4 linked regions of the Drosophila melanogaster genome follow. The protein of the gene in region 3 interacts with the protein of the main gene of each other region in a pairwise test. Each region holds a gene or a part of one and is shown on either strand. Other genes may lie near its edges.

Region 1 (8,686 bases), on a different chromosome or scaffold from region 3:
TGCTTCTTCCACCCGCCAAATGTGGCTGGCTTCCTGGCCAATTTCACTTGGTAGCAAGAGTCGCTTTTGCCAGCCAATGCCTATGCATGTACAGTAGACACTCTGTAAAGGGAAATCACAAACTGGTTGTCACACGAACGCTGGTGGATGGCTTTTCGGCCATCCTTTTTTTTTTTCATTTTTTTTCGTTATCATTTGGATGACTTATAGGTGAAAATTGTCGCGAAAGTCGTGAGTTATGAATGGGTTGTTGCTGCTGTTGAAATCGACGTTGCGAAGGTCAAGAAACTTGAAACTTGCTGCAACTAAAACTCACTCTCAATGTTGTTCGGCATTTGCTGGCATTTAATTAATTAAAGTAAATCACATTTCGGCCTGCACAGCGACTGCACACGGGTAGACATCATTAATCATTGAAAAATTAGCGCACATTTCCGTTCACCTTCAATAAAATTAGATTCGTTATGAAAGAAAAAAAACAGCCGCCGCAACTGAAACCGAGAGCAAAGGGCCCCCCAAAGTCTATCAAAAAATCCATTGCAGGTGGAGGGGGTCAAGCTTCACAAATTTTTCCGACTTTCAAAATACAAAGAGTTTTTCGAGGAAGCAAAAATATTTCTTTAGCACTTTGTAAATGCTACATAAATACTGAAGAATTATATTATATTTTAAGATAGCTGTTAATTTTCTGCAAAAAACACTGTGATGCATTTAATTTAAATTTCTCAATTTATTGCTAATTTTTTTTCTTATTTTTTTTTCCTAGCCATTCCATCAACTAACTAACTAACTTGTAGTAAACGTGCTGAGTGTCCACAATTGTTGTGTGGTTGCAAAAACCCGTGATTTGTGTGCTGATAATGTTGTACACCTGTTGAACAAAACAGGTGCTGATCGTTTGTATGATGAATTTGCATATGTTGTCAGCTAGCTGCAGGCAGCTTAATGTGCAACATCGAGTGTTTCACAATGTATACAGAAATGGCCGAACATAACTTTAAATACCTGTTTCGTTTTCTATCTAGTTAACTGCTGAAAAAAAAAAATTCCCAAAAATTACGCCAATCAATCTAACATCACACATCCAAAAAGCCAGCGATTTTCTCTTCCACTTTGCATTTAAAAACCTTTATAATATGTATATATTTTTAGTGGAATCCATCAAGTCTTTCAAAGACCCAGCCCCGCTGTTTATCTCGTCTCAAAATTCAAATGCCATACAGAAAATATATATATAAAAAAAAACAATCATTTAATTAACAGACAACAGCAAAAACGCAAAGGGAGTTGGGAATTTGGAATTGGGGCCGCCAAAGCTTCCGCACGCCATAAAAAATAATTTCTCAAATTAGTTGTCGCCTCTGAAGAACTATATCGCACTCTTTCTTTCTCTCAGGCTCTGTCTCGTTTTTTATCTCGCACCCACACATACACACTCAGCTGGGTGTTAACTTTCTAAGCTCTCGAGATTTATTTTAATTTTTACCTTTATGTTTTCGAGTGTGCACATAGATTTCCATATAGAAAGTAAATGGAATTTCGCAGTATTGCCGACGTACTTGCTAATCATTTGTATGCCAAGACCCACATACACATACACATTCTTGTGTGTGTGTGTGCACGTGTGTGTGTGTGTATAAGTACGACCTACGAGCAGCCACATCGCATTGTCAACGGGCAATCAGTGAAAGTTAAATCGAACAATGCATTTGCCTTTGTCGGTCCCCAAAAGCTCCTCCCCCCATCGGTGCCACTCCCCTCCCCACCCGTCTTCACCTCTCCCCCTCTCTCTCCCTCACCCCCTGGGGGCAGCTGTCAGTCGCACCTGTGTGTGTTGGATGTGGCTGCTGCAGGTGCCATTGTTGTAACTTCACACTCCCGAGAAGAAAGTGAAAAGAATCTCGACGAGCAGGGAAACAACACGAAACATAACTTAAAAGCGTACGCTCACGCACAAGAGAGGCAGTCGAAAAAAAAAGAAAATACGAAAATAAGAAGAGATTTCAGATGAAAAATGGCAAAAGGGCGAGGTAACCGATAGTCGATTTAATTAAGGTGCGTGTGAATTAGGCGTCCAGGTAGCCACAAACCATCGATCAAGAGGCCTTTTCCAACATTCCATTCAAATGAATTAACTTTGCAAAATACATATTTCTTTTGCCATAACATTTGATAAAATACTCCAACTATGGAATGTGATATATCGTTGTGCTCGTAATTCAATTTCCAATCAAACTGTATTCAAAAAGAAGAAAACTTTTTTTTGCCATTGTTTGTAAGTTTTGAAAATTTTGAAAACATGCGAAAATTTGGCCAAAAATTAATTTTAGAAAATCAGTTTAAAAGTGAGAGGGGTTGTTAGTATTGGTTGTAAGGAGTATACAATGGTACTTCTTTTTGCTCTGTGACCATTTTTAGTCAAGTTATACCCAAAAAAGCCAACATGAAAATTCAGTTTTTTGCCAAAAATAGTTTCCAGATTTTTTGTGAAAAAAATAATCGGTTTTTCGATCATAACATTGGAATAAATTACCCAAATATGGAATGTCATACCTCGTTGAGTTTGTTTTTTAAATTCCAATCGATTTGCATTCAAGTTTGGGAATTCTAGGATTTTTCAATTTTTTGCAAATTTTGATGATGTTACCCCTTACAAAAAATGCGAAAATTTGGCCAAAAATTAATTTTACAAAATCAGTTTAAAAGTGATAGGGGTTGTTAGTATTGGTTGTAGGGAGTATAAAATGGTACTTCTTTTTGCTCTGTGACCATTTTTAGTCCAGTTATAGCCAAAAAAGCCAAAATGAAAATTCAGTTTTTTGCCAAGAATAGTTTCCAGATTTTGTGTGAAAAAAATATTTGGTATTTTGATCATAACATTGGAAATAATTACCCAAATATGGAATGTCATACCTCATTGAGTTTGTTTTTTAAATTCCAATCGATTTGCATTCAAGTTTGGGAATTATAGGATTTTTCAATTTTTTGCAAATTTTGATGATGTTACCCCTTACAAAAAATGCGAAAATTTGGCCAAAAATTAATTTTACAAAATCAGTTCAAAAGTGAAAGGGGTTGTTAGTATTGGTTGTAGAGAGTATAAAATTGTACTTCTTTTTGCTCTGTGACCATTTTTAGTCAAGTTATAGCCAAAAAAGCCATCCTAAATATTGAATTTTTTGGCAAAAATCGTTTCTCTCTGTATTCTGATCAGAACATTCGATAGAATGATCCACATATCGAGCCTGGGGAGTCAATTATAGACTTTGAATCATAAATCTCACTTTTATAGTCAAGGGCCCATAACGCGTTTATCAAAGTCAAAGTGGTTTGATTGGATAATACGATATAAGTAATTCGTGGTCTGCAATTTGACTTGTACTCACTTTGAACACCATTATCTGCAGTGAGCATTTGCAACTGCATGATTTCGCTTATTGAATTTGTTGCACGACTTAAATGATCAGGTAAAACTCAGTTGACCGAATGATTTACTTGACATTTTACCTCGTCTACAATTGCTCAAGATGACTGCAATGATGAAAATAATAATGGAAATGCATATGGAATATCAGAGGCTGCAATTTTCAGTGTGGCATTAAATTCCTTCACTTCAGCGAAGCGCAAAGACAGCAGCCAGATGATATGAGGGAAAATCGGGGGAGAGGGGCCAAAGAAAAGCTTAAAATGTTGGAAAACTCGTTTCGTCTCGGCCAAAAGAAAAATGCAGATAAAAATAAATAACGAAAACGAAAACTGAATAAGAAATGGCATCTTCTAGGGCAGCAACGAATATGGATGTACCCTAAAATAAATCATGATACGGTTCGCTTGAAATCCCTTCGAAAGTTACAATTTAAAAGATACTTCTTCGCTATCCAGTTTACCAAGCCGATTGATTAAATCACATATAATTGTATTATAGAAATTAAGTACTTTTAAAGTCTAAACAAAGGGTAATTGGTTTATCGCTACCCAAGAGCTGCTAACTCTGGCGAAATAGGTGAGACGAGAAGTTTTTGTGCGGATGGTGGTAAGTCGAGGAGGCCCCAGCGCGTCCAAGAATTTTCCTAGCCAACATCTTGATTGTGCCTACATCAACTGGGACTGCGGTCCCCTTCGAGCCTCTCGAAACTTGATTTCAGCGTTGTTTATGAATTTGTTGGCCATCAGGAAAGGCAGCAGCCGGAGCATAACACACAGCCACTGCAAAACACTTTTGGCCAGGCTGGGACTAAAGCCCCGTAGCTGAATGCTAAGAACTGCCTGATGATGCTGAGCCTGGGTGAATGGTCAAGTCATAAATAAAAGATCTTCGGCCAGCATTCTGCAGATGTTGTCTCTTTAATTACCCCCAGCACATATCGCAGGTTCTTGTGAGCGGTGAGCAAACACACACGTTTAATAGACCAAACCTAATGTGCAGCCTGATGACAAAGAGCCGTTTTCCAACGTCTTCCGCTTTTGGTACCAAATTCAGGCCAAAATCAACTTAATCCGCATTTCTATGCGATTCTCACAGAGCATAGCTAATTAGATGGCAGAATCTCATTAGATTGCATAGATTTGCCAGGGCTCTCTATTCACGAGCTGTCATAAAGGTTTTTGGTTTACTATCAATCTTAAGATGTTTTTTTTTGGTCCAGTTCTACGAACTCATGCTGCATTTCAAAATAAACCCAATTGTCTTTGGTTTTCACCATGTTTAGCATCGTTTCACATATTTTCACCTGTTATTCTACACAATTTCCCTCACACTTGGTGACCTTCCATCCGGCCCACTGGCCCCCCAGCTGCACTTTCATCTCAAGGGTGACCCACACTAACTCTCTGAAAGAAAGCTCTCTCACGTGCTGGTATAAAATTCATTCAGATCGCGCTCATCTTTTCATAGGCCACAAATTGGCCTGGCCAAAATAAATATGCGAGCTGTGTTTAATTTGCCGTTAACTTACCTCATAAAACAGTGCTTATATTTTAGTGTCTCGTTCGAAAAGTAATTAAAATAGGCACTTTTGTTTGATTTTAACAGGAAAAAAAACACTGAAAAGGGACTGTTTATACTGATTGTTAAGTGGCTAAAACAACCAACTTCTTTGAAACACGCGCATAAACTAAAAATTAATAACAAAAACAAAAACACGCGGGAGAAAGAGGAGAAAATAAATGTGTTGATTGTGGCATAAAGGGGGATCTTCTGAAACCGGTTTTTGTTCAACTTTTATGAGCTTTTCACAAATTGTAGCTTGTTTTTTAGCGCAACTAAATAATAAAACATTTTCGAAAATGTACAACTTAGTCGGGACACAGCACCTGAAACAAAAACTGAACGACGTCTTCGTTAAGTTAGCGCGCAAGAAGTTCGCTTTTAGTACATTAGCCAAGAAATGAACCATAGTGCATTAGCTAAGACACCAACCGGTACTCAAAATATCTCTAAGCAATTCTGTAACTTTAAATTTAACTGAGTGATAACAGAAAAGGTAAATAAAATTAACTGTGATATTTTGTAAATTTAAAAAAAATGGAAATCTTTTTGAAACTGGTAAAACCATTTTTTAATGCTGTGCTCCTCATTACAGTTTGCTTCTTTATTTTTTTATTGTCATCGGATATTGTATTGTGTTTCTATTTGCGTATTTAATTTTACATTTTGCACTTGCATTTCGAAGTTAGAAATTGAAATTATGATTTCATTTTGAGCTTTCCCTCCCCATGTTCTCGTGCAAAAATATTTTCATTTTTAACAATTTTTAACTTTCTGCCATGAAAATGATAAAAGTTAGTCAATTTTTTGTGCGCGATTGCAAGGATTGTGTGCCTGAGGATGCTTCGCTCGAAACTTTCGAATGGCACACAGATACTCGCACAGATACGCACGCACTCACACATACACATACAAAAAATGCCCGCGGCTTAACGCTGCGCAAAGCCAACCAAAAACTATGAAATTTCTATCTGGTATATATGCATGCATGCCAACTACAGTGCATCCTTGAAGTTGATACACATTTTCTGCGAATCTTTATTGTTAAATATGTATGCACTGCAATATAGTTTTATTTGCCAATACTGTCATAATCTTCCAAAAATAAATAAAATGTTAACTTAAGAAAACACACACATACCTGTTCGTTTTGCGGAGATTCCACTGTTTTTTTTTTTGTGGGGCCATTTGTGCGTTTCAAGTGAGGCTTCGCAAACGAATGCCGGAAGTTGCCTTTCGAATGCAAAATGCAAATTTAAGGAAAAGGAGCATCGTCAGGGGGGGGGCTTTGGTTTTGGTATGGGGTGTGCGATAAGGACACGCTGATAAACGAACTTGAACATTTTTTGACAGTTGTGCGTATAAATCTTGAAATGTTTTAATTTGCTTGCGAATCGATTTAAAGCGCACAGCAACGAAGTGCAAAAAAAAAAACGCAGCGAAAAATGGCAAGACAAAAAATGGTTGAAAAACGCAAAAGAAGCGTAGAGCAAATGGCAACGTAGTCCAATGCGGCAAGCAACATCGTTGCGTATGATTTATGAATGACATTTCAGCTCTTCAATATCCTGCAAGCATTCGGGCAATGGTGAATTGCTGATGCAGCTTGATGACTTAGAAATACAAAAACCTTTCACAAGATTATTTATGAATGCAGTGAAATAGGTGAAGTTGCATGATATTGCATAGTGTTTCGAAAATAATCTGTTTAATCTTTTAATATTTAAGCTAGTGTTGAAATATGAAGAATTTTGTAAATAGTCAAAATATTAGGGTATTCCAGTGCTCGGCTACCAGCTAAGCATTTTTTTTTTCGTTGTGTGTGGAGCATCGCGAATTAGCCAAAAGCCGTTGCCAATCTCAGTGTCCAGTGCCCAGTGTCCATTGTCCCGCTGTCCATTTGTCCGGCTTTTGGTCATGGTATTGGAGTTGGAGCTGGAGCAAGAGCAGGAGCAGGAGCAGCAGTAGGAGTGTGGGGTGTTTACCTTTAAAGCGTCGCTGCTGGCTCGCCATTTTTTGCCTGGTTCTTTTGATTTTGATTTCGGCCTCGCTTTTGTTTTCATTTTTCCACTGGCGGCTCTGCTTCAGCGCGCTGTCGCTTTTTTAGTGCACCAGTCAGAGTCACCAGCCCAATCTCAATCGCAGTACCAGTCCCAGTCCCAGTCGCAATCCAAATCCGAATCCGAATCCGAATCGCAATCGCAATAGCAATCCCAATCTCAGCCAGTCGCCAATACCAGAGATTCCGATCCAGGGCCAGGCAATTCCATATCATATTTTTGCATTGACCCCGGTCCGCAGTCGGTTTTTTGCTCTTGGCGTTTATAGATTGAGTACTTTATCAAAAAAACGAGACATCAAAGCGTATATCATGTCAGCTGCAGACGCTGGGCCAGGGATCCCCCTTCTTATTTTCGTTTTCCCCTTTTTTTTTTTTTTTATTTTTTGTGTGTATGTGTACATATATATATTTTTTTTTTGTGAGCCTGGGGATTGCATTTGCATTCCGCCTTTGTCCCTCTGCCGGTCACCATAACTTAGCCAATGGCCCGGCTTGGGCGCCATTTTGTTTATCTTTGTCGCAAAAGGAGTCGATTCCCCACAAAGTTGGTCAAACTAAGGACCAGACTGAAGTTCCACACACAAAAATACATATGTATATCCGCAGGAAGTTGAAGCTTGAAGTAGCAAATGATAGCTTAGCCATTATGTTTGCGTTCTAAGATGTGTCATATTAACTGGAGATGGGTACTTCATATACATCTACTTCTTTAGTTTATGAAAGATTTGATTTCCGTTGCAGTCGCATTAGCATCGTGCACCATGCCCTGGAATCCCATCCCGTATCGATCGTCGGGCATCGCTAGTGACTCAGTTTCTGGCTCGACGACTTCTCCCAAAACGATTCTCGTTCCGCCGATTTCGATCTCTTGTGATCATGGTACATTGGGTTTTGGTTTCCCAAATGAGTTGCAGCGGGCGAGTGGCGATGAATGGAACGTCAGAGCGTTCGAATCGCTGCTGCTGCTGGCATGAATGGACCGCTTTTGTGTGCGGCTACAGTGGGCACACGCAGCTAACGAAAAAGCAATGAATTGTATGTTTTTTTTTTTTAAAGTAAGTCAGAAAGTTTCCAGCAAGTTATTCTACTATTTAGGCAACCTAAAATGTATATGAAATACTTTTCAAAGATTTATTTAGCATATTTCTGAGAGGTTCCACTTTATGGAGGCTTCTGCCACTCGTAGGCGTCGAAATCGCTTGCCAGTCATCGAGTGGGATCGTTTTCTCCACACTCTCCCAGACTTTTTCCAGTTTTGTTCCCTTTTTTTTCTTTTGGTCTATCAAGCGTGTGGGTGGCATAAAATGGGGTGGAGCCATGTGCCAGTAAATTAAGTGGAGTTTGCTTAGATTTCTGATGAATTTATTTTTGCAGCGTTGCAATGCGTGTCATTAGCATAAGTTGGAAGCGCACTTATATTATGACATTATCAAAAGTACAAATGAAGACAAAAAACTTCGGGAGATCGGCACAACTAAGGTGTCCGTTGATTAAGCCTGATTTATTGGACGAACCGAAAAGCGTTTACACATTTGTTAACTTTGACGAGCAGCCAAACAAATCGCTCTATGCAAATGATGAACGTCGAGCGGAAACGGAAAACGAAATGCTGGCCAAAATGAGAAATGCCACAGATG
Region 2 (8,194 bases), on a different chromosome or scaffold from region 3:
AATCAAATTGCTTTTGTTTTACATTTTCGTCGTCTTCAAAATGCACTTAAAACGTTTCTAAAACGCAACCCATAGAAATTTACAGGGTATGTGAAGTTGATGCGACTGAAAACTATTTTATGATATTTCTTTTTAAAATTTTGGAAATACTTTAGTTCTGGCAGCTTAAATCATTTGGCAGATGAACTTAAGCGAACTTTGTGAATGGATTGTTTTTCCCACTTGTTTTTCCCATCGATTGGCCCGATATACCCTCTAGATTGATACCCTCTAGATGTCGCACATAAAAATGAAAGTTAAATGCGATCAATCGCAGATCGCCCCACAGCATCGAGATCGTGGCTAATTAATGACTTTCCGTTCGTCTCGTCGCATCCAAGTTAAGTTTCTAACGGTCTGGTCTGGCGTAGAATGTCGCGCCGCCGGCACCTGTTACGCAAATGAACGATCCACCAGATACGTCCATATATATATGCATATGCATATAGATAGATAGCTTCAGCTGATCGCTTCACTCACCTGCTCGTCGATGGGACAGCCGCGGGCATCGAGTAATTGCTGCGTGGATTCGCCCAGTCCATCGAGTGCCGCACAGTCCACCACCCGCACTCCGATGTTTCCGGGCACGATGGCTCTCACCGTCAGCGTGGTGGCGACGCCCACCTCCACGGATCCGGTGCCATTGGGACCGCCCAATTCTAACCAGATCCTAACGCGTGGCGTCTCCCGCTGCTGTTGATTGATGGACGAAGTGGCGCCGAGAGCTGGAACTGCAGCAGCAGCTGCCAAGGCTCGCATCCTGGCATTTCTACATATATATATATATATATATCGAATCATAAAAGAACTTCTCCATCTTGTTACATTAACTAAAGCATTTGTAGAATTACCTATCGTGACCCTTTTCCTGTCGCAACACCGGAAGTGGCATGCCCATCGCATTGGCCGGAAGTTGGCATCTCACCGAGCTAAGGATGTCGGTGCTCTGGCGCAACTTCTGCTCCTTTTGCAGCATCACACGCACCGTATACTCCAGACTGCCGTCCTCCAGTGGCTCTGCCCTCACTCCGCAACCCGATGTTGGGATGCGCAGATGCAGACGCGTCGAGTCCTTGCCACGTGCGCGACACTCCAGCGGAAAGTCCTTGGCGTAGAGTAATCCGCGAAAGGGACGGCTCAACTCCAGATGCATCTCGAGCAGCTCCCGGCTGCAGTTCACCTGCATCGCCTGGATTTGCATGGTCTTGGTTGTGGTGGTGGTGGTGGTGGTGGTGGTGGTGGTCGTATCGTTAATGAAACTTTCCGGCGTTCTGGTTGTCCAGGCAGCATGACACAGAAACTGCGGCAGATGCAACACTCCGATGGCGATGGCCAATGGCAGCAGCTGGCCGAGATTGAAGGATGTGGACGCGGCCGAGGCGCTGGAGGAGAACATGTTTCCGATTTCCCGTTTTCTACCAGTGGCAACGGCAAACCGCCCCGCCGATGATCAAAACCGCAAAACGATAATGATGCCACTTGTTGCTGCTGTCTTTGGATGTTGCTGCTGCTGTCACTAGATGTTGCTGTGTTGGAAGCGACGACACCTGTTCGTGCGGCCGCGTGGCTAACTCTTAATTGGCCTACTCCCAGTCCAAGTTCGAGAATCTTGTCTGCGAAATGGAAATGCATTAGTTGCATACATAGCATAGCGATGATTTTGGGTCAAGTAATTACGGGGGGGGGGGGGGGGGCATGGTGTGTACTTGTTGCTGCTGGGCTTTCGTGTTTAAATGGGTTAACTAAACTGGAAATTTTGTACTTCAATTGTTAAATAACTATTTAAAGGTATAGCTAGCAATATTGATGATTTTAATCAATTGTAGGGCTAATAGAAAAAGGGAAAGGGGCACAACGCTGTCACTTTATGTAATTTTTAATGGCCAAATAAACGAGAGGCCAATCTGGGGTAGCCCTTCCCTGCCCATTTTCGATGCCATGCGATGCGATGTGATGCCAAATCCGCGACGAAAGCGGGTCAAGTTTGTCCCATATTTGTTTGATTGGATGGAGTCTATAAAGCAATGGAGCTATGGAGCCATGGGGCTACCGGGCTAAAGATGTTGCAGCACGGCGAACAAATAAATAAATAAATAGATGCGATAAAGGCAAACACCGAAGCTTAAATCAACATCAACATAATGCGTTTGCAACTTTGCGTAATCCTATTTTGTGATGTTACTAGCTGGCAGCTAGTATGGTTGGTTATTCGCTTATTGTGCTCTCTATTTGTATTTGTGATTCCCATCTCTTATTAACTTGACTGGGCATTGTAATCAGCCCAATTAACAATATAACTTGGACTCTACTTAAAAACTAAATATACAAGTATGTATGTATTTGTATCTTTCGAAGTGACGGTGCCCTTCACTCGTTTTGAGTTATTTCAAAATCATAGGGCTTATGTCCTTAGTCCTTAATCTTACAAATTAATATACTGAGATATTATTCAATATAACATGTGTGGTTACAATTGTATAGATGTTTTTTTGTCAATAAACTTATACGATCCTTTCAGTTGGTCCTTATTCTAAATCGCACAGATAAGTTCTTTAAATCTAAGTGTGATATTTTTTTAACCATTTGTTTTTACTGTAACTTGACATAGTTTTTTTTTTTTATGTATAACTGATATTATTCTTACCTTTTAGAACGAATTTAATATCCTTTCATCATCCCAATTTTAGCATTCTTTAAGATTTCGCGTTGAGCTTCTTCTCTTTTTCTATAACACTTATATTATAAACAGTAAAAAAAATCACATTCCTTGCGCAATTATGCGGTCAATTTGAATTGCGAAAAAAAGCAGAAGAACCGCAATTTTCAAATTGGTTAATTATCAGCTACTACGCATGCGCGCACTTCGCACGCTCTCAACGAACAGAAACAGTAAACACCGTAAAAAAAAAAACAAAACACTAACTGCTATTGAACAAGTGGATGAGATCGCGAAACACGCCCGTTTTGGATTGAAGAAGTCTCAAGAAGACAAGCGCGCGCCACCGAGTGTGCAGATGCAATGCACCGGGCCAATTCCGAGTCCAGAAGTTAGCCAAGTTAGTCGCGAGCGCAGACCGCAAAACAGTCAGTACAGCAACAACAACAATGAGGGAAGGGGCCAAAAGCGGCAAAAGACGTTGGCCGACGTCGCGCATGCCCAGCGATGTTTTTTTTTGGCGCGCAAGCACCTATTCAAATTGCGCGTTATCGATAATGCGCATGTATCGATATTTTGCGATCTATTCATCGGCACAATATTTAATTTATTTATTATATATATTTTAGTAAAGAAAATACACGTTTCACACAGGCAATGATCGAAATTCGAATAGATGTATTCGCATTTCTCGAATTTTCGTTTTTCTTTTCAAAAAGTAGCAGTTATTTGATCGAAACAAAATTAATATTGGTCGATATATGGAATGTCATACCTCGTTGAATTTGTAATAAAGTTTCAAATCGAGTGGCATTTACAGCTCAAAATGTTGGATTTTCATGATCTATGATCTACGCAGAGTGAGTCGATGTATGAAAGCGGAAGGAAGCAAGCATTTCTACAAAGCGAGTATTTTGTTGAAAATTGCATCGATACCTGGTATCCGATAGTTAGTTTCGGCCAGCAACCTGCGACTGGTCACACTTGCAACTTTTTACGTTTTTTTTCGGCAGTCGTGCGAATTAATTAATTAATTCAGTTGATGTGACCAGGATGAGCCACAAACGCTGCCTTGCGAACGAGGTAATCGAATTCGTCCTGCCGGCCAATAGCGATTACTCGGACGAAGACAACCGTGGAAACGTTCGTGTGATTAACACTAGCGATGATGCCACCTACGTGCTTCTGGACAACCTGGGCAACGAGTTCGAAGAGGACATCATCATCGTCAATGAGAACGGCGTGGAGAAGGAGATGCTGATGAGCAAGGAGCTGCGCGACTTTATAGTGGGCTCCCGGGTGAAGGATTTGACGGATGACGAACAGATGCCGCAATTTGTGGTCAGGGAATTGGATATGAGCGAAGTGGGGGATTTGGTGGAGGTGGAACCGGAGATGGAACAGGAGGCGGACTATGGCGACTACGGCGACTACGAGCACGAACCTAGCTACGGCCATCCGCGCGATAACGAAAGGGTGGAAGAGGATCTGGATATGTATCCACCGTCGTCACCCTCGCTGCCACCATCGCCACCAAGGCCGCCGTCGCCTGTTGTCCAGCCCGCTAGCAAAGCTAGAAATTCTGCCCGCCAGATCGCCTTACGTAGCTTTGTCAGCCAAAAAAACAACGACGACGATGATGGTAGCGTGAAGGAGGTGAAGCCAAGCGAAAAGATGCTGGAGGAGTTCAAGGGACCGCGTCGCTACATGCTTTTCGACGACCTGATAGCCACCATTGTGGACTTTGACGAGGATAGCACACCCCTTGTGGAGTTCTCCATGATCAGCGACATCATGGACGAGAAGCTGCCGGTGGAGTGCGGCATTTGCCCAGATGTGATGCACAAATCAAAGCTGTCCAAGCACCACAAGACCCATCTGGTGCCTGGCACCAATCGCTATGCTTGCATTTACTGCACGGAAACGTATCGCGACTGCAAGTACCTGGCCGGACATGCGCGGCGCCACATGGGCATCCGTCCATACGTCTGCGAACTGTGCACCCTATACTTTTCGACCAAGCAGGATCTGCGCGTGCACAATCAGCGCCGACATCTGGAGAAGGAGCATATTTGCGAAGTGTGCGGCAAGACGTTCGCCCAGAATACCCAGCTGAAGCGGCATCGCGAGGCGACGCACGAGAAGAAGCGGCGATTCCAGTGCGAGTACTGCCAGAAGGCCTACTACAAGAATTTCTCTCTGCAGGAGCACATCCGCAATGTTCACATGGGCAAGCGGCGGATGCTCAAATGCCCATTCTGTGGCATGCAGTGTCGCGATGCTCACAAGATGGCCCGTCATCGTAAGGAGATGCATCTGAGCCAGGGCACATACGTGTGCCATTTGTGCCAGGAGGAGTTCACCGACATCAGCTACTTCGATGCCCACAAGCGTTCGATTCAGTGCCGTAGCAATACGCGTCGCTTTGTGAATGCGGATGGGAATCGTGAAGGATCCGATTCGGAATCCATTTCCGGTCGCAATATGAATGGCCAGGACGACGATTACGACGGCATGGGCCCACTGCAGGAGGAGTACGACGAGGATGACGGCCTGTTGGTTGAGGACAATCAACCAGAGGAGCAGGGTTCGCCGTCCAATCGCCAATATTTGGACGAGAGCGAGCAACAGTATGTGCAGCTATCGGATTACGATGACCAGCACCTGCTGGTGGAGAACGCAGTGGACGCAGAGGATGGCGGTGAGGATTTAGATGAGCTGCTAACCGAGGATCAGTACTTTAACGCTGTCCAACAGCATCACCAGCAGCATCAGCAGCATCATGGCCGAGGGCAGGACTACAACGACGAGCTGATATATGAAATCACCTTGAAGACTGAGGATAACTGAGTGCCGCAACTCCGCGCAAATTTTGTACATATATAGGTCGCAATTAAATACTATCATGTAAAGAATTCATTCGCTTGACTTTGTTTTTGAATGGCAGTACCAAGTTTTTTGGTCGAATGCAACCCAGTGTGTACAAATCCGCAGGGCTGTATTTTAAAGGGCATCAAGTTCGGACTGTTGATTGCAACCAAGGGGTCAAACATCGCGCCTTTTGGTTGTACCAAGGGGTCATTGCGGTTTTGGCAATGGAATTTTCCACTCATTTTGCATTTAGCAAGGCCCCGGTGACGTCAGCACGGGCTATACAGCAGGAGGAAGTGAGAAGGAAATAACTTTAGCTACAGCACTTATTGCTCCATTTCGATAACGATTATTTCGGGTGGAGATGAACTAATTTCAAAACTAAATAGACTTTTATGTATTAAATACGTATTATTCAATGATTTATTGTTAATTATTATTGACAAAATATGGTAAAGCAGTCATGAGACACTTTTTATTAAAAAAAAAGATCATGTATATTTGCTTAAGCCTGCACTTCTCTTGTTTTGCAACACTAATGGGGCGGGCACCACTGACAACAGAAGTAAACAAACGTAAAGACAACATTTTTGTTTCTACCGGAAAAGTAGGCGAAATGGGCAATGACCACGAAACCAAGGGAACCCGGGATCCTTCGATCAAACTTCTCCAGTCACACAACAAACCACCTTGATTTGGAGCAGAGTTGCCTTCAGAAATTCCGCACAACAAAGCGATTCTCATCCAAATCTCGACCTGGCATATATTTTAAACAATGGACGACAACGAGGATGAGCTGGAGGAGCACCAGGAGCTGGTCAGCGACGGCAGTGTCGAGGAGGAGGAGGAGGTGGAGCCCGATCTGGGACCAGTGGACAGTTGGGAGTCCTTTAATGACCGCATCGATGGCCTGATCTTTAACGAGCGATGCGACAAGTCGGTGAAGAAGTTGGACGAACGCCGGCTGGCGATACTCAACCGGGTGCGTCAGCAGTTCCGCGAGGCCCCGAAAGGCGTCGCCGAACGTTGCCAGGCCCAGAAGTCGCCGATTGATCAACGGCTGGAGTTGTCCAGTGAGCGATTGAACGAACTGGTGCGCTTTGGCAAAGAACTAGTGACCAATGTCCGGGTGGCCAACGAGCGAAGGGAGCTGAATCGCCGACTCTTCGAGGGTGCGCAGAAGAATCAGATGCATGTGAAGCTGCAACGCGAAAGCGTTGAGACAATGGCCCGTTTCGAGAACATTAAGGCGCGCTGGACGGAGCTGGAGGAGACCAATGAGCCGATGCTGTTGTGGGACCAAATCGAAGAGCAAAAGAAACGCATTGCCGAGATTATGGCACGCAAGGATGAGATGATATCTGCCTGCCAAGCGGAGGTGGACCGCATGAATGCCAAGTACGAGTTCGATCGCGAGCGGCAGGCCCAGGATCTTTGTTGTCTGGTGGAGCGCGTTGATCACCAGGTGGAGACGCTTAAGGAGGCCTACAAGGAGCACATCCAAATGCTGCGGCAAACCATCGAGGAGGAGCGTCAAATCTTCGCCGATAATGCGGTGGAGAAGTGGCGCACCTTCTTCGATGCGATGAATGCCAACTTTGACGAGAAGGCCAATTTGGTAAGGGCACGCGAGCAATTCTATGCTCGCCAAACCCAGCAGATCAACGAGTCCCAGGAGGAGCTGACCAAGAGCACTCGCATTCGGCTGGAGAAGGAGTGCGAGAGGCTCGAGCTGGAGCTACGTCGCACGCGCGACAATGTGCTGATGAACTCCGAGAAGCTGGACTACAACTATCAGGTTCTCCAGAAGCGCAACGAGGAGAACGTGATCATTAACAACCAGCAGAAGCGACGGGTGGCCCGACTGCATGAGGCGATCGGACGCACCCGGCGTGGCCTGAAGAATCTTTACAACACGGGCAAGCGGAACATAGCCCGTCTTTCCTCGGACATCTACAAGCTGCACTCCAACATCAACGATATGGAGTCGAAGGCGCATCAGGCGAGGCTGAACAATCGCGAAAAGTTCGATCGCATCTGGGAGATCAACTACAAGGAACTGAACCTGCTGGTGGATCGGGTCTACCACATCGATCGCATCATACACGAGCAGCAGTTGGCCATGCCGTGGTCCAGCCCCGTGCCACCCATTCCAAACATCAACAAGGCGAAGAAAAAGCGCAATAACATTCTGGAGAAGTTTGACATGCGAATTGGCCGGGTTCCCAAGAACAGGGTGATGCCCAACTCGGGCGTAAATTGCAAGCCGGATATCAAGGAGCTTCCGCCGGATTCACTACGCTTGATGCGTAATCTTATTCGCAAGCTGTCCGATCGCGGCGGTTTCCTCATCGAGGAGCGTCTGCTAAAGATTCTTGAACCGTATTCCGAGGAGGAAAAATGCCTGGTACGCATCGACAATATATTTGCGGCGCTGCGAATTCGTCATCTGCGGGATGTCAAGGAACTGACCAAGGTTTTCATGCCGTACACCTACTGTCCGAATTGCCAGCCGCAGGGATTGAGTCCACGCAAGTGTGCCGAGGTGTTCATGAAGGATCAAAAGCCAAATCGGCTGCAGGGCGCGGCGGGTGGCCAACCGGATGAAAAGGAGCATAGGTCGACAGG
Region 3 (7,954 bases):
CGAATTTTCAAGTATCTACACTGTTGAGGCTGGAGTTCCACAAGGGAGTGCTTTAGGTCCAGTGCTGTATACAACTTCCACAGCTGACTTACCGACTACAAATGCCGTTCAGATAGCAACATATGATGATATGATGATAATGCTATTATCGCCACGAGTAATGACCCGCGCGTTGCATCCAACTTAATTCAAGAAGAACTAGGGTTAATTGAAGCATGGATTAAAAAATGGCGAATAGCAAGTAAACGCACAAAAATCAGTGCAAGTGACATTCTCGTACACTAAACGGCTTCACCATACCAGTTAGTGAAACGGTGAAATATCTTGGAGTACATCTGGACAGGCGTCTCACTTGGAAACACCATATAAAAGCGAAGCAAACTTAGCTAAAGAAAAAACCAAAAAAAATGTACTGGCTCTTAGGACCCCGCTCTCAATTAAGCCTAGAGAACAACTTACGGCTGTATAAAGCAGTCCTAAAGCCAGTATGGACCTACGCGATGCAACTGTGGGGAACATCTGGCAACTCTAACGCTAAGAACAATCACAGGTGCTCAATGGTATATGACTAATGATGACATCCACAAAGACATGGAACTTCCCCTTGTTAAAGACGAAATAAAGTCAAATGCAGAGCGATACATAAGTAAACTACACGACCATGATAATGTCCTAGCACTAGGACTACAAGATGACACCAGCAACCGAAGGCGACGAAAAAGCTTTCATGTACTGGACCTGCCATATATTTTTAGAAATAGATAAAAATATGTAAATATGTATATATATGGATTGAGCTCACTGGAGCTCAATTCATACGGTGATAAAATTATTTATCGCTACAGATTGCAAATACAAAAAAAAAAAAAAAAACAAAATAAATAAATAAGAAAAAGCATTTCACCTGGAAGGAAATATTTCGGAGTGTAAAATATGTTTTGCATCTTTCCGTGGCTATTATTTGACTATTTTAAAGCAGGACTATGAAGTAACACAAAATAGGATATATAAGAAAACGAACGAAAGCAATGATACCGAAGTGCCTGAAAAGAAAAACCATAGAGAACCAACTTCAGATACCCGTTACTCAGCTAGTGTGAATGCAAAAGCGTAATTTCATAATTTTTCTAGGATATCGATAGATATTGGGGAATAAAATTAAATTTAAAAATTGTTAAAAATGTGGGCATGGTAGTATTGCGCGGTTTTAGGGCTGTAGAGTGGGCGTGGCAAAAAGTTTTTTGGCAAATCGATAGAATTTTACAAGACTAATAAAATTATGAAAAATTATCTAAAAATTTTTCAAAATGTGAAAAATGTGTGCCAACCATTTTTTTTTTTGCAAATCGATAGAAATTTACAAGACTTATAAGAATTTAAATAAATATCAACACGTTTTTCAAAAGTAAGGGTGTGGCAGTTTTGTGCGGTTTGGGGGCGTGGCAACATGGGTCAACTTGGGCTGCGTCTATGTCTCTAGAATCTGAATGTATATGTATCTCAACCTTATAGCTTTAATAGTTCCTGAGCTCTCGACGTTCATGCGGGCAGACGGACATGGCTAGATCGACTCGGCTATTGACCCTGATCAAGTATATATATATACCTTATATGGTCAGATATGTCAGGTATAAAAATATACTGACAGAATTTATAGACTGGTAGACCTTTATATATATATGCCTTTTGGGCATTATAAAGTAATAATAGTAATAAATAAATCAAGTGAGTTTCCCACTCCGATAAAACGTTTCACTGTCAAAAATATATATGATTAAGGCATTCGGCGAGCTCAATTAGGCCAGTGTTTAGCTAGCAAATTTCTAATCCTTTCTTTATGCTGAAACTATCCTTTTCTGAATATACTATTTGTAGCTACGAGCTACAGATTCTCTTATCTTTCACCAACTTATTTCTTTACACATTACACCTATTTTTCGGTTCCTTAAAAATAAAAAATCTATAAGCTCTAAATCAACGTTTTCGGGCGTTTTGATGGTTAAAGGAAGGGCGTGGCCAAAGTGTTTTTTGGAATACCTACAGAAATTAACAAGACAAACAATAAAATATGGGTCAACAAACTTGCGCTTTTATAGTTCATGATCGATTCGCTATGATCCTGATCAAGAACATATATATATACCTTATACATTCGGAAACGCGTTCTTCTGCCTGTTACATACTTTTCAACGAATCTAATCGTTATACGGTTATATTTCCTTTTAATTTGGCCACTTTGTAATTCAAAAAGCACACAGAAGAAACATTTATAAAATATAATAAAAAATAAAAATAGCGAGGATTAAATTAGCAGACTTTAATTTCGCCAAACTACACAATAATATATATATAATTTTTATCAATTGAACTCTCGATATATGTTGCTAGTCAAGTGTCTTTACCTGTGTAAAAATTAATTAGGTTACTTAAACCAAAACTGATAAAACCCATACAGGCGCATAAAAAGAAAAATAGAAGACCAAAAAATTCAACAAACCAAGTAAAATGTACGTTTTTTATATTTATGAGAAGATTAACTTATAATTGGTGAATTATTAATGTAGCTTATTAGCTTATTTAATCTTGTGGAACTCCTCCATGCATAGCTTGCAGCTCCAAGAACCCTCTGGTGGAGTCACAAGCGGTGGTGACAGGCAGTACATATGGTATCCCCGGTCACAATCGTCACAAAATAAAAGTTGATCGTCATTATCAGAGGTCCCACAGATGGAGCAGTACTTGCATTCAATGCATTGCCAACGATAACGTTTTACCGATATAATCATATTTGCCGTGAACTGCAGACACGATGGATGACCGGAACGACCACAGTCCGAGCACGATACTAGCTCTTCGGGCATATTGGTTTTTTTATTTTCTCGTTGATCTCCCAGACAAAAGTCACAATAAGGTGATGGTTGCGCTATGTCACGTTCTACACGTTGTTTGACCTTATTACCAGTAGCAAACACCGTTTGATTTGTTCCTGTTTGCACCGGATGCGCATTGCAAACATTTGAGGTTGTCAGGCCCGCGTTTATGGCAACCATTGTTGCTAGGGGAATTGAGTCATTGGAAGCTCCAGCATCGCTTGAAGTCTTATCGTACGACGACGATATGTTTGTTGGCAGTATGAGTCCTGACTGTGAATTGTCGTCATTTATGGGAATAGGCGAAGCTGAGTTGGAATGAGATGCATAGAGCCCAGTGCTAGCGACAGCAGCTGCAGTACATGCTGCATGTGCGACAGCGGCGGCAGCTGCCGCTGCGGCTGCGGATGTATTTGCACTATTTCCACCGGCTCTACGTTTTCGATCAGATTCTCCCTCAACGGCGTTCTTTCGACGATTGCCTAGGGTATCAATAACGTTTACAATTCATCAGCTTAATAAACTTGTACTCACCACCACCTTTACGTCCCCGTTTGGGAGTACCCTCTACGTTTGCATTTGTTCGTCTAGGACGCGAACACTTTTTGCGTTTGCCCCGGCTGGTGTAAGACTCATCAAAATCGTTATCTGAATCAAAGTCATCCTCAAATTCATCGCCATGATGAAAATGTGATGTGTCCATTTCATCGTGGAACCATTCTTTTTCGACGTTTGCATGTGAGTCCTTACTATCATTATCTCCTGATGCTCCCATGGAGTTGCCATCCGTAGCAGCAATGGCTGTAAATAAAAACCCATAATAAATATAAATGTCAGATGTATAAAATATTGACTTTCATCCGACGATAAGCTGCAATTTTTTACCTGCGCTTTCAGCTAAGTGAGGATTTTGTGGTACAGCAACGCCAGACGAAGGTATATGATGGTGATGCTGATGCGTTTGATGGTGGGAGTGCTGAAGGTTGTGCTCGCGATACTGATAGGCTCGGAAACTTTGATTCGGGTTAAGTAAGTACTGACGTTTTGGTTTGCGCCACCGAGACGATGGATAAGTGTATATCTGACCATGTCGAAGACCTGGCATTCGCTGTTTTTTTTTCATAAAGAGGGAGCAATGTGTCTGTGCGACACCTGTCTGGGGATCGAGGAATGGCATGCGAAGTCGACGTTCAATGCATAGACGAGTGTTGAAATTCTCGCTGTTTTCTAGAATCTCCTTGTACTTTTCCTTGTCATTTAAAAAGTTCTGAATTTTTTCAAAATTGGCAATGTTTACTACCAAAGTTTTTTCGTACGCAGATTTGGAAGCCATGTTGATGCCGAGTGGTAGCCGCAGGAATTATTTGGTTAAGCAATAGCTAAACTAAAGAGCTAAATTGTCAACATATTTTTTTGTCATTGATAAAATTTATGTTTCTTCACACACAATTCAAGCTGATACAAATAACAAAATATAGAATTGTTATGGGGCACTAGGCAAGAAGTACAAAATTAAATATTTAGAAAAGGTGTGAACGTATTTCTATTTTAAAATAGATACAAAATGTATATCAAAGTTCTCGACCATAGTTATAATAAGTTATTTCCACAAGTGCTCCCTAATGCGCAATTCACAACTTCTTGATACGTAACAATAAGTTAACATTAACAATAAGTTCTGTAGCAAAAGTTCTTGATCCAGTGCTAAGAAATAAACATTGCATTAAAAGAATTTATTTATTTTTTTTTGTTTTTATACCATTGATGCTATATTTTTTAATTCCGAATTTTTATCGCATTGAAGGAGAATTTTCGGAGTGTGAAAGTCTCTTAATGCTTAACGGCTGGTCATATCGTCTCGAATTAGTCATGTTCAAAATGTACTGAGTTTGACTTTTAAATAGTTATTCAAAATTTTTTTTAAGAATATATGTTATTTATCCAATTTAGCCATATTGATGAAAATGATAAACATAACCCTCTTCATGAAAACCACTTCTTTATTTCTATTCACACTGGTGAAATTTATTCAGTCGTTTTGAATTTGACAATTCTATTTGAATTTTTTGATGTAGATGTATAGCAAGTGTATTAAAACAAATACAAAAACATTTAAAACACGAAATCAACACCGCAGGGGTCGATAGTTAAATCGAAGTTTTAAAGTCTGTATACATTAGATATAAATTTATTAAAGATCAATCATTCGCCAGAAGTTAAACCATAGGCGTTGGATCTCATTAAATTGTACCGCAAACTTCCTTGACAAGGATACCATCTGCTCCATTTCTAAACCCGCTACTCGTAGACTAAAAGGGTACACTGGATTCGTTAAAAAATAGGTAACAACCCGAAGGAACGGTTTCTGATCACATAAAGTATATATATTCTTGATCCGATTAATAGCCGAGTTGAATTGGCCATGTCCGTCCGCATGAACGTCGAAAGCTCAGGAACTATTAAAGCTATAAGGTTGAGATTAAGCATGCAGATCCAGAAGCATTCACAAACTGCTTAAGACTGCCAGGCTAATATATTAAAAAAATGTTTTGATATTTGTATATTTTTCCGTTAGTTTTGTAAATTTCTATCGATATGCGAAAAAAAAGTAAACGTGTCCGATCTGATAAATTAAGAATTATAGATCAGGATTATTCTTGGACGCTCGTACCAGTAAGTGTATATTAAAAAGTTGCCAGGATCATTTATTGGGCAACAAAATGTAGCGATAATAATCGGAAAATCGTCTGTATCCGTGGAAAGTACTGATCGAGACCAGAATGGCGGGATTTTGGCTTGGATACTTTCAACGAGTGTATAAAAGGCGGAACGCTGGACGAAGGCAGGCACGAAAACAAACAAAATTCTATGTGCAGTACCGTGAAAATGAAAAAACGGTATTTTTAAGCACCTCAGAGTTCCACGCTAAAGAGTTAGCCAACCACAGGGGCCCGCCATGAAAAGCAGCCGAAAAAAATTTTGGCCTCAAACCTCACATATGTAAATTAACTTTTTGCGGTATAAATTATTTTAAAAAATAATTTTTTATTTTTTAGTATTTTTATTGGTGTTAAACTTTTCAACTTATCACTTTATTACAAGACACTTATTGTTATCTATTTATACACTAATAAACCGTTCTTTTAATCCTCCCGAATCAGACTGATCTTCAAATTCTGAATCCTAATCCAATCAACCTCGGCCAGAAGCTTTTCTTTGACACTTTCTGAACTTTTGATAAAAGCTTTATGCTGAAATTATTCCACTGCATTGTGAAATTCAATTATGCTGATCGATGCAGTTTTTGATTGAAGCGTAATAAGTTGGCCGTGGTTTGGTCTCCAAGCGGAAGCTGTGTTTACGTTAAGTTTGGGTTATTTACTTTAGCGAGTAGCTAAGCGCTGGCAAAGGCAATGACAAAAACAAAGACAAAGGAAATGCCGACGAGATTGAGAATTGAAATTTGTTTATAAACTGTGGAAGGGTGCTATGTTTATGGGTTGGATAACTTGTACATCGAATGTACCATACAGATCCACAATTCATCACCCTTGAAGAACATCACAAAATCGTCGCAGAGCCTAATTGTTTCGGCTGCACAGCCGACTCTCATGACGGTGATCTCTCTCCTAAAAATTCTAAGCGATTAAGATTGATGTTTTTAATCAAGGCGAGGAAATATCATCGCTCTTTCATGAATTGCCGACTTCTAAGCTAACGCTTTCAGAAGTGCGCATCGGAACATGCAAAAGCATTTCTCAGCTACTAGCTGACAGCTAGTGTAAATGGGAACGAGAACATTTTTTTCTGGGATATCAATAGATATTGGGAAATAAAATGAGAAAAAATTAAAAAAAAAATTTCTTAAAGTGTGGGCGTGACCGCTTCGCGGCAGTTTTGGACGGTTTTAGGGAGTAAGAGTGGGCATGGCAAAAATTCTATAGAAATTTACAAGACTAATAAAATGATGAAACAATTTTGAAAAATGGTTCTAAGGTGTGTGAGTGTCAGTTTTCTGTGGTTAGCGGGCGGAAAAGTGGGCGTGGCCATATGGGTGAACAGACTTGCGCTGCGTTTAGAATCTGTATGCTACTCGGCTATTGATTCTGATCAAATACATGTATACTTTATATATATATATTTTTTTTCTCTCTCTTCTTATTTACAATGTGTCTTAAAAAAGTATGATAAGTAAATTTATAATTAATCGTAATCACAAAATCTGTGAAATTAAAATGCAAAACGAAATTCGTGATCAACGTCAACGTGAAATAGACGAGCGTCGGCTCTCTTCAATCAAAAACAACGCGTATTTCTCGTTCGTTTCTACGGAAACGCTCAAGCCCTTTCAAGACCAGAGAGCGAACTCTTGCTCTCCGTCGTTGCCAAGCACAGTTCCAAAATCTTGGAAATCCACAATGCCGCAACCAACAACAAATTACACACATACTCCGTTAACCATTGTAGGCAAGCCTACAATCCAAGTGGCCGCCCGAATTCGGTCATGCAGACTGGATCGCTACGTTTTTGCAAAACGTCAACGGAGTCCGCAACGTACAACAGGTAATAGAGCCAAAAAAAATTGTGGTAGCGAAATAAAAACTACTACTACCAACAATAAAAACATGATTGCACTGCTAGCAGAAAACGCAAGCGAGGAAGCTAATAAAACGACAGATAGGATATCTAAAAACCAAAGCCTTCACCAATATCCAAGAGATTACTACGAACGCTAGCAAATAAAATAGTTCGGATAATAATAATAATAATATCGCAAACAACAAATGTCACGTTATACCTCTAAGAACCGGAAAAATTAAAGAAACTAAGCTTCAGGTCAAAACCGAAACCAGTTTCATGCGGTTTCGAAGTTTTTAAACAAAAACGGAAAAAATATTACACGTACCAACTCAAAAGCAGTAAGGGCTGCAAGTGGTACTAAAAGATATGTGGCGCCCAGACTGAAGCCCGGTCTGGCATCACGGCGAAAACAGGTACTAACGCCAAGACCTTTCCTGGAGGACGATATCTTCTGATATCGTCAGACTGGACACACTAAAACTTCAGCTCCGCGCGCAACAAGC
Region 4 (8,499 bases), on a different chromosome or scaffold from region 3:
CATACACATAAATCGCCTGCGAAGTGACCCTTGGCAATGGCGAAGGTAATTGCGTACTTACCGCTCTCAGCGGAACCTGAACCTAACCAAAACCAAGCGAACCGTAAGGTGGATTCGTATTCCCTCGATTGCGTGCCCGTTTCGGGAATAGATTTATCGTCTCGTTTGAAATCCGCACTTTATTTATGGTAGCTTGGCCACATTTCTTTGCGGATCTCCCACTCCAATACTTATTATTTATTATTCTATCAAACGTTACGTTACACTGTCAGCACCAGCACAATTCACTACGCGCACTTCGAGGCGATTACGAGATTTCGAGGCGATCAAGATCCGAGAGCGCTGGTCGAGAGGCACTACCGTACGGGGCGAACTCAAGAAAGAATCTGCAGCGGTGCAGTTGCTCTGAAGATTTCGGAGAAGACCTTCTTCGTATCGGACAACGTGCAACTTGTTGCACGCAACATGTTGGTCTGAGACGACTGCTAATACAAAATGTTCAAATACCTTACTTGATATTTTATTTATATATTAAGTAAACCTACTTTAAATAGGTTTAACATAACTTAACTTTAAGAAGTTTTTTATAGAGCAGAAAACTTTCTTTAATATCTTATGAAAAATAATATCTTCACAAAGTCATACGATCTCGAAGAAAACCGTTTCAGATTTGGCCTTTTATTAAAAACCACTAAGCTACATTTTGGCAGACAATAGTCAGATGACTTAAACTATACAGATTCATTAACACCAATGGATTCTATGTTGACCTGAACGACTAAAACAGCCTTGACCTACAAAACTTTTCCGACCTATCAACTAAGCTTATTAAACATGTAAATATGTTGTTCTATTCCTCGGGACGAGTCTCGCTGTAGAAGCCCAGATTCATTGTGGGAATCATGTTGCTGTAGAACGACAGTTCCGCTGCCGAGGGACGCACTAGCTGGGGATCCTGAACTAGCGGAGCCGTCATAGCCACTGGAGCCTTTTCGGCCATTTTTAGGGGTAAAATAGCAGCCTCTTGAGCCCGCTGGGCCATCTTGTGCTGCAACTGATGGACTTTGAGGTGATTCTCCAGCTCAATTTGATGCAGGAAGCTAATGCAACAGATTCCGCACGTAAAGCTGGGACCATGAGCCTCTAGCTCATGGCGCTGCAGTTGCTCGCGTCGGTTGAAACCTTGATTACATGTCTTGCAGGCGAACAGCGAGTCCATGTGAAGAGCTTGATGGCGTTGCAGGTCCCTCTCCCGTTGGAAAGTTCGATCGCAGACATCACAGTGGTAATAGCGTGAGTTTTTGGTTTGTGCGGCAGCCTTTTGTTTAGCCTGCAACGCCTGCTGCTGCAGATCACCCTCCATCGGGGGAATTAGACCCATTTGCTGCTGCTGCTCCATGTCCCGCCTGGTATGGACTTGCTGGTGGGCTATTAGCTTATCCCTGCGCGAAAACGAGTAGGGACAGCGTCCACATTGGAAAGCCTTTACCTCTCCGTGCGAACGTGTGTGGCGCATCATTTCCACAGCCGTCTGGAAGGATCGCGGACACTGCTGGCAAACAAAGGGCTTGACACCGCTATGAATGCGCATGTGCTTGGTCAGATTTGTATTCCGCGAGAAACTCTTGGAGCAAACGTTGCATGTGAAGGGCCTCACGCCAGTGTGCACGATTGTGTGCTTTTTAAGATCGGAGCGGCGCACAAAACCCTTCCGACAGTGAGCACACACATACGGACGGTCCGGATCATGCAGTGTCTTTATGTGCGAAATCAAAGCAGGCCGGGTAACCAGCTTGATGTTGCAAAAGTTGCAGCAGTACGGTGCGTTGGGATCGTGTGCAGCCAGCTCGTGCTCTTGACACTCGGCGGGCAGAGTGAACCCAAGATCACAGTATTGACAGAGGAACGCTCGTTTTGGCCGTGCCTCCGTGGTGTTGGCGTTGTTGGCAACGGACTGTTGAGCCGCCATCTGGGCCGCATCCATGCCCAGTGGCATGTCGACGTCTTCGCCGTTCTGGCCATCTTCCTCGTCCTCCTCATCGTAGTCTTCCTCCTCCTCCTCATCATCGTCGTCATAGTTTTCGTACTCCCCATCGGAGCCGAGTGCGAATTCCTCTTCACTGCTCTCTGCCAGATTCTCTGGATCAACTTCCACAATAATGCAGCCCTCCTCGGGTACGAATACTCCGGGGTTGCCATTCAGGCCTGGACGGTGCTTCGGATGATCTTTAATCATCTCCTTCAGCTGCTCCTGCAGGGACTGTTCCCGCTCCTGCATTCCTTTTCGCAGCTCGAATGCCTCTTCGAGGATCTCCAGACACCTTGAGCAAATGAGCTCCGACAAACATTCGTTGCGATCGTACTGTAGGTGGAGAAGTTATTCATGCACTTTTTCCATGGATTATAAATGGCCCACTCACCTGAACGCTCCAGAGACTCTTGGAAACCTCTGCAATGGACACATCCTTGCAAAACTGCACGGTGTCATCGAAAATGTTTAGCGAGTTGGGATCCGTATTATGGTGGCACAGGCGACAAGTGCTCACATCCTGATCCTGGGTCATGCTGATATCCGATGTATGCATTCTTCAATCATATGCATTTAAGCCGGGATTGCAATAAATTATCCAATTGTTTAAGCAAACAAAAGCCACACCGGTAGCAAATAAAACGCGTTGGTCAATGGCCAATCTACCACGATAGTATCGATATGTCGCGAAATTAAACAACATGGTCCAATCGATTGTCGGAGGAAATCGATAAGCCGCTGCACAGTGGGTTACTTAATTGAATTATAGGAATTTTTGAATATTTGAAGTTTTTAAATTAAACAATTTTGTGTTTTATTAAAGTTCAGATTTGTACCTTTCCATTTTAAAATACTTTTACTAAAATTGTAACAAAGCCATATCTAATACGCAAAATAAACGTCAGCATCTTTGGTAGCAAAAACGAAACTACTTATGTGTAATTCTTTGGGGTTGAAGTTTGATGATGCTCAAATTCAATAAAACGCAGTTTCTTTCTACACATTAAAAATTTGTAAAGCTGTTTGCATAAAATATAAATTATAAGACTTATAAGGCTCGTGTCACACTTTTAAATCAGAAATGCACTTACGATTAAAGCAGTGGGCGGCAGGTACCTAATTGATGCGTACCTATGTAGGTACACGCCGTGAACACGCGAAGCGAGAGCTTTTTCAATTGCCCGCGGACTCTTGATTAAAGCGGAGGTATTTTTCGAGTGCCGGCACTCTTTCGGCGAAAGCGGATGATTGTTTAAAAATCTGTGCGTACGCGCGTATATTCCTTTAACTAATCGGGATTGATTGCTTGCGCGGTTATTGCTTAATTGCAGTGAGATTTTTGGTTCTATTGAAAGTGGCTAATGTTCGTTTAGTGGAATTTATTGCACTGCAGATGCTGCAAATTATACTAGAACACACACACACACATCGGCAAAACAACTGTTACGCCTACGCAGCAGCGGCAACAACAACAACAACAACAGCAGCAAGGGAATTAGCAGCAACAATTTTCCACCCATAGAGGGAAATAACTGTTCCGTGAGTTTATACAATTTGGGCTGTATTTGTTGTTTTCCACCCACGTACTTTTTGTCTTTATTATGCTCCTGCCGCTTCTCCTTCTTTCGCTCCTTTTCCCTACCCACCTCCCCTCTTCCACTTCTTTTCTCTCCCATGCGGTTAGTGTGTTATTCCCGTCCTTAAGGAATAAAAGCAACAGCAACCCCGTGTACATTTATTGTTCTCTCCCCCGATGCACGGAGAGAAATTTGATTTTGATGTGTAATCAGGTTCAATTTTATTATTTAGATTATATGCATAAAATGATGAACTGATTGGACCACATTGCTAAAGGAAACACAGGGTTTTTTTTTTACAATTTTGAATCAACTACTCCAAAAACATAAACACCGTATGAATGATGATCGCAAATTTCAATGGAATAGTTTTTTTTTTCTGTGTACCTATCATCCTGTTAACCCAAGCTTTGCCCTCGCACCCTGTAGTTCTCATGAGTGTTAAATTTTCTGCCACCAAGTCCCTGTTAATTTTTGGTTATTGGGATTCCTCACTTTTCACAGTTGCCGTTGCGCGTATGAAAATGAATTTGTGCATTTATAATTCATAAATAGGACTATAAAAAAGAGAATTTATAATTTCATGAATTTACCGAAATTGGGGTCTTTAAAATGCGTCTATTAGCCTATTTAGGTAGTGATTTGTAGTGAGTTAGTAGTGAGTAGAACGAAAGCACTCTAGCGTATGCACTATCTGCCCTAAAAAGTTTGAACATAAAGATAAAATATAATTGCTTAAGTGAAATAAGCGCAAAGATTGCATTCGAGCTTAATGGTCTGATTAAAGTCCCTAGAAGCAAATCTATATGATATCACCACACCGAATTAGTAAATATCCTTACCCTACGAGACTTCTGCTAACTTAATATTTACACTTGCATACAATTACCCCTAAACATAGGGAACATGCCATTTGCCGGCCACATGAGAGTGACTTCCAATTTTGTGTACAATGAAAAACAACTGAAGATTGCTGTCCTAAACATTCCACTCGGCAATTAAGTGCTCGGCAATGATCATTCGATGAGGAAAGTCCAATCAGCAGATCAAATGAATCGGTGCCGTGACTCAAGCTAGGTCTAGTTCTACAGCTTAGAATCACTCTCCCCGTTGACTTTGAACTTGACTTGAAACGCTGACGTTAAATTGACCTGAACGGCAATTGGTGGCTGTGGGGGAGGTCCAGACCTCATGTCCGGACTTAAGTTAATTTCCGCGGCCGCGTCACATGCGTAGCAACTGTGTAACAAAACCATGCCCATAGTTTCCCAGCGTGAAATCATGCCACAATCTTATCAGTAGCCTAAAGCTTATGCTGCCTGAATGAATCGATGTTCCGCTGTCGCACACCGAACGCTTCGCTGAGATTGTCGTGCGTCGAACTGATACTGATAATGGGTGTCAAACCATTTACCCCCTTCGCAATATTAAAAGCAGGCGATGACGGTGGACATTGTAAACAAAAAGTCAAACATGTGCAGTAGATAAATTGATTTTAGCACACTGTCAGAAATGTAAATTTAAAACTTAACCCGTATGAGTACAAAGTGTTTTTCTAAAATTTCTTCATTTGCAATCCAGTAACTTGTAGGCTGTAAAACCATGTCGGTAATTTTCTTGTCATTCAACCCTCTAGAATAATCACAGTAAAATCAATTCCACAAATGGAGCTGAATATTTCTCTTACAATAAATGTAGTTTCCCATATCATTGTTTATTTTTCGTTGTGTACCAAGAACCCAGTAAGCGCAGGGGTATAAACTACGATAAATACGTGGAAATATTATCGCAAAGCTCTTGTTTTCTGCAGAACTAATAACATAAGCCATTTATGACCAATTACTGAGCCGCAATATCGAAAATCTAATATTGCCGTGCAAATTAAGTACAAAGTTGGAAATTATAATATGCTTTCGGAGGAACATGTGACATTCACAAGCGTTACACAAAAAATCAATGAAAATCCAAGGAAAATGGCATAACCATTAGATCTCAGCGCTTGTAAAATCCCAAATAAGAAGACTTTACTCGTTGAGTTTTTGTAAGAAACTGATTTTATTTGGAAATATCTTCGGTTTAAATAGGTGACATGAGAATCGCATCTTAAAGTAAATGGCCTACGCAGAGGCCTAAGTAAATAGTCCCCGCCTTATCGAGGTCCCACGCTCGGGCACATCTGCCTATCTTGAGCGGCGAGGACCTTATCTGTGGTCTCCCACTAAGGGACTATTTTAGGAGGCGGGGAACGATCTCAAGTGACTGACTCATGTAGTGTGCACTTAAATTACATGTTTTTTGAGCAATGCACCCATGTCGCCTTAGATAACAAAATCCTAAATATAATTTATCGCTCTCGATTCATTTACATAAGATATGAACGGAGCCCAAAATTGTAAGTCTTTAAATATATTCGTGTTCATGTGTGAACATTCTGCCAAAGGGCCAGCAAGCTGAGATGTACATTAGTATATTAGTTGCATTTATAACAGTAGTGGACTGTATTTATTTGATATATGTTCATTTATTTTGCAACTAAGATTTCAATGGGCCTAGTTTTTCTGGCTTTTAATTTTATTGGATTACAATTATGGTTTATATTATTTTTAATTCATCAATTTGTACTCAATTAACTTATTTTAAACATTTTGCTTTTTCTATGTAGAAGTACATTTTCTATTAAACAACGATATAGTGGACTGTATATTTTTATTTGTTATATTATTTTATTGTTTATTTACTATTGATATTTATAGTACTGGCAACGGACCTGCAAAGGTTATTGCTTGCATTCTTTGTTGCACAGCACATTTCCGTATGAAATATATTATTAATACTATCATTAGTATTAAAGCAATAATTAATCCAGCATGTCCGGAAATATGATGGAAATGTAAATCTTTCAATTTTTGATGGTTCTCTTTCATAAATTTAATTTCATTATTCAATCGTTCAAATTCCTCAGTATGATTTAATATTGATAGTTTCAGCGGATCCCAAATAATCTTCGGCGCTTCACTAACTTCTCCTATATAAGGTGTTGATAATAATTCTTCACTTTCGGACTGAATGTTATGGTGGGCAACTAGAATTTTATCGTCGGTTCTTGCCGTACAATATGGCGCAATGCTTAAAACTCCTTGCTGAGGCAAATCAAACAATTCAATTTGAGAGCCAGTACATTGCAGACGGACTTTTGAATTCGCAGGAACCTTAAACAACCAACTACTTTTCTTTTCTAACTCTACCCAGTAACTTTTAGAGTCGACTACTGTTTTATAGATGCAGTTCGCCGCTTTATCTGGCTTTAGAGGCTGAATCTCACATGCATTATCATTCGCTGAATTCCAGGGCCAACTTCCTTTGCATATTCTCTTATTTAGTTGCCATTTCTGACATTGATTTAATGTGGCTTCCGTCATTATGTGATAGGAATCTATCTCAAAATTATAAATTAAATATTCGGACGTTGTATGCACCATTATTATCCGATCTTCATTTCGAATTGGCACCGGAATAAGCCTGAACAATTTGGATGGATGCCTGCTAAACAGAGGCACTTTTGCACTAATGATCAATTTATCGTCGATGAATAAACCCCTGGCTGTTAACAGTGTATACACCTCCTTAAGTTCCGTACCTGACCGTTTTCCTGGAATTACTAGGTTCTCCGAAAGACTCTGCTGAATTTTGGCAATTTCTTTTTTAAGCTGATTTGGCCTGAGAATATTTGTATTTAGCCTACCGTGATTAATATCAATCAACAGGCTTATAATGCCTGCTTGAATTTTTTCGCCTTCTTCAATCAATGAGTGTAGCTGTTTCGTAATCATAAAGAATTTTATTGATTCCTTATAAACATAATAATTTTCTTTAAGAACTTCTGTCATGTTCTCAATTCTTATTTGCATACTTCTAAAATTGGAGTTAACATCTTCTGTTGTTCTCTTTAATAGATTAGAAGTTGAATCAACCACAGATGTTTGTTTTTGAATTAGTTTATCAAGGTTGTTCTGGTTATCTAACAAATTCTTCATATTTTCTTCTAATTGCTCTCTATCATCTTCATCCATTATACCAAATAAAATATGATACAAGGAACCCATAAATTCGAAAGGAGCACGCTTGCTTCTAGATCTAGACTGTATCATAAACAATTTATTGTTTTCTTCAAGTTCCGATAACTGACTTTGCATATTATCTAAGACTAGACTACATTGCTCTTCAAAGCTATGAAGTCTTTCGCAAACTTTCCTCATACTTTGTATAAGCGCATTACCCTTTGTTAACATTTTAAAATATGGATCCATTTTATAATAGATAACCAAATTCCAAGAAGTACTCACAATCTCAACATCTCCTAGCGGGTCTAGATATATTGCTGAGGTTTTATTTATTTTGTCTATAGAATATCTTGGTGCTATATCTTTAGGTAATGCGCTAGAAACTTGACAACTTAACACAAACAACAACATTGCCATAATGATTCCGATCTTGGACATTCCCGATGTCGCTCTAGTTCGTCTTTTTGGCTCTTGGTCAGCCTCATTTTTGTCAACAGACTTTATTCCTTCCAAGGGACAAATTTTAGTAATGGGTCTAGTGATATATCCTTCCTGCATCTTTACTTTAGCCACTCGGACCTTATCATCATTCCCCTTATGCACCTTTTCCACCTTTCCTAAAGGCCATCTTGCAGGATGACAATTCTCATCCTTTAATAAAACTATTTGCCCTTCTTCTATATTAGGAATTTCCTTTTTCCATTTATTCCTTTGCTGGAGCGTATGCAAATATTCACTTTTCCACTTAACCCAGAAATCTTTCTTCATTTTTTGGATAAGTCTCCACCTATCCAAATTTCCGATTTTTTCATCTTCCATTGGTTCGACTATT

Evidence for each region.
Region 1: the proteins of d4 (region 3) and CG12075 interact in a two-hybrid assay, tested with the Drosophila melanogaster proteins (one large-scale study listed by BioGRID).
Region 2: the proteins of d4 (region 3) and CG2116 interact in a two-hybrid assay, tested with the Drosophila melanogaster proteins (one large-scale study listed by BioGRID).
Region 4: the proteins of d4 (region 3) and prg interact in a two-hybrid assay, tested with the Drosophila melanogaster proteins (one large-scale study listed by BioGRID).

Annotation. Positions count from the first base shown.
Region 1 is NC_004354.4:8,834,754-8,843,439, reverse strand, and holds the start of CG12075 (uncharacterized protein), read right to left. Parts: upstream 5,118-8,686; 5' UTR 4,956-5,117; intron 1-4,955.
Region 2 is NC_004354.4:8,126,171-8,134,364, forward strand, and holds CG2116 (uncharacterized protein), read left to right. Parts: upstream 1-3,641; 5' UTR 3,642-3,748; coding exon 3,749-5,545; 3' UTR 5,546-5,613; downstream 5,614-8,194. Other genes in the region: cyr (cypher), read right to left, coding at 520-808, 891-1,435; CG10958 (uncharacterized protein), read left to right, coding at 6,342-8,194.
Region 3 is NT_033778.4:5,290,514-5,298,467, reverse strand, and holds d4 (d4), read right to left. Parts: upstream 4,406-7,954; 5' UTR 4,204-4,405; coding exon 3,756-4,203; intron 3,672-3,755; coding exon 3,405-3,671; intron 3,353-3,404; coding exon 2,574-3,352; 3' UTR 2,503-2,573; downstream 1-2,502.
Region 4 is NT_033779.5:8,458,696-8,467,194, reverse strand, and holds prg (piragua), read right to left. Parts: upstream 2,708-8,499; 5' UTR 2,586-2,707; coding exon 2,421-2,585; intron 2,363-2,420; coding exon 851-2,362; 3' UTR 501-850; downstream 1-500. UniProt on the Drosophila melanogaster protein: May be involved in transcriptional regulation. The function of this protein is unclear.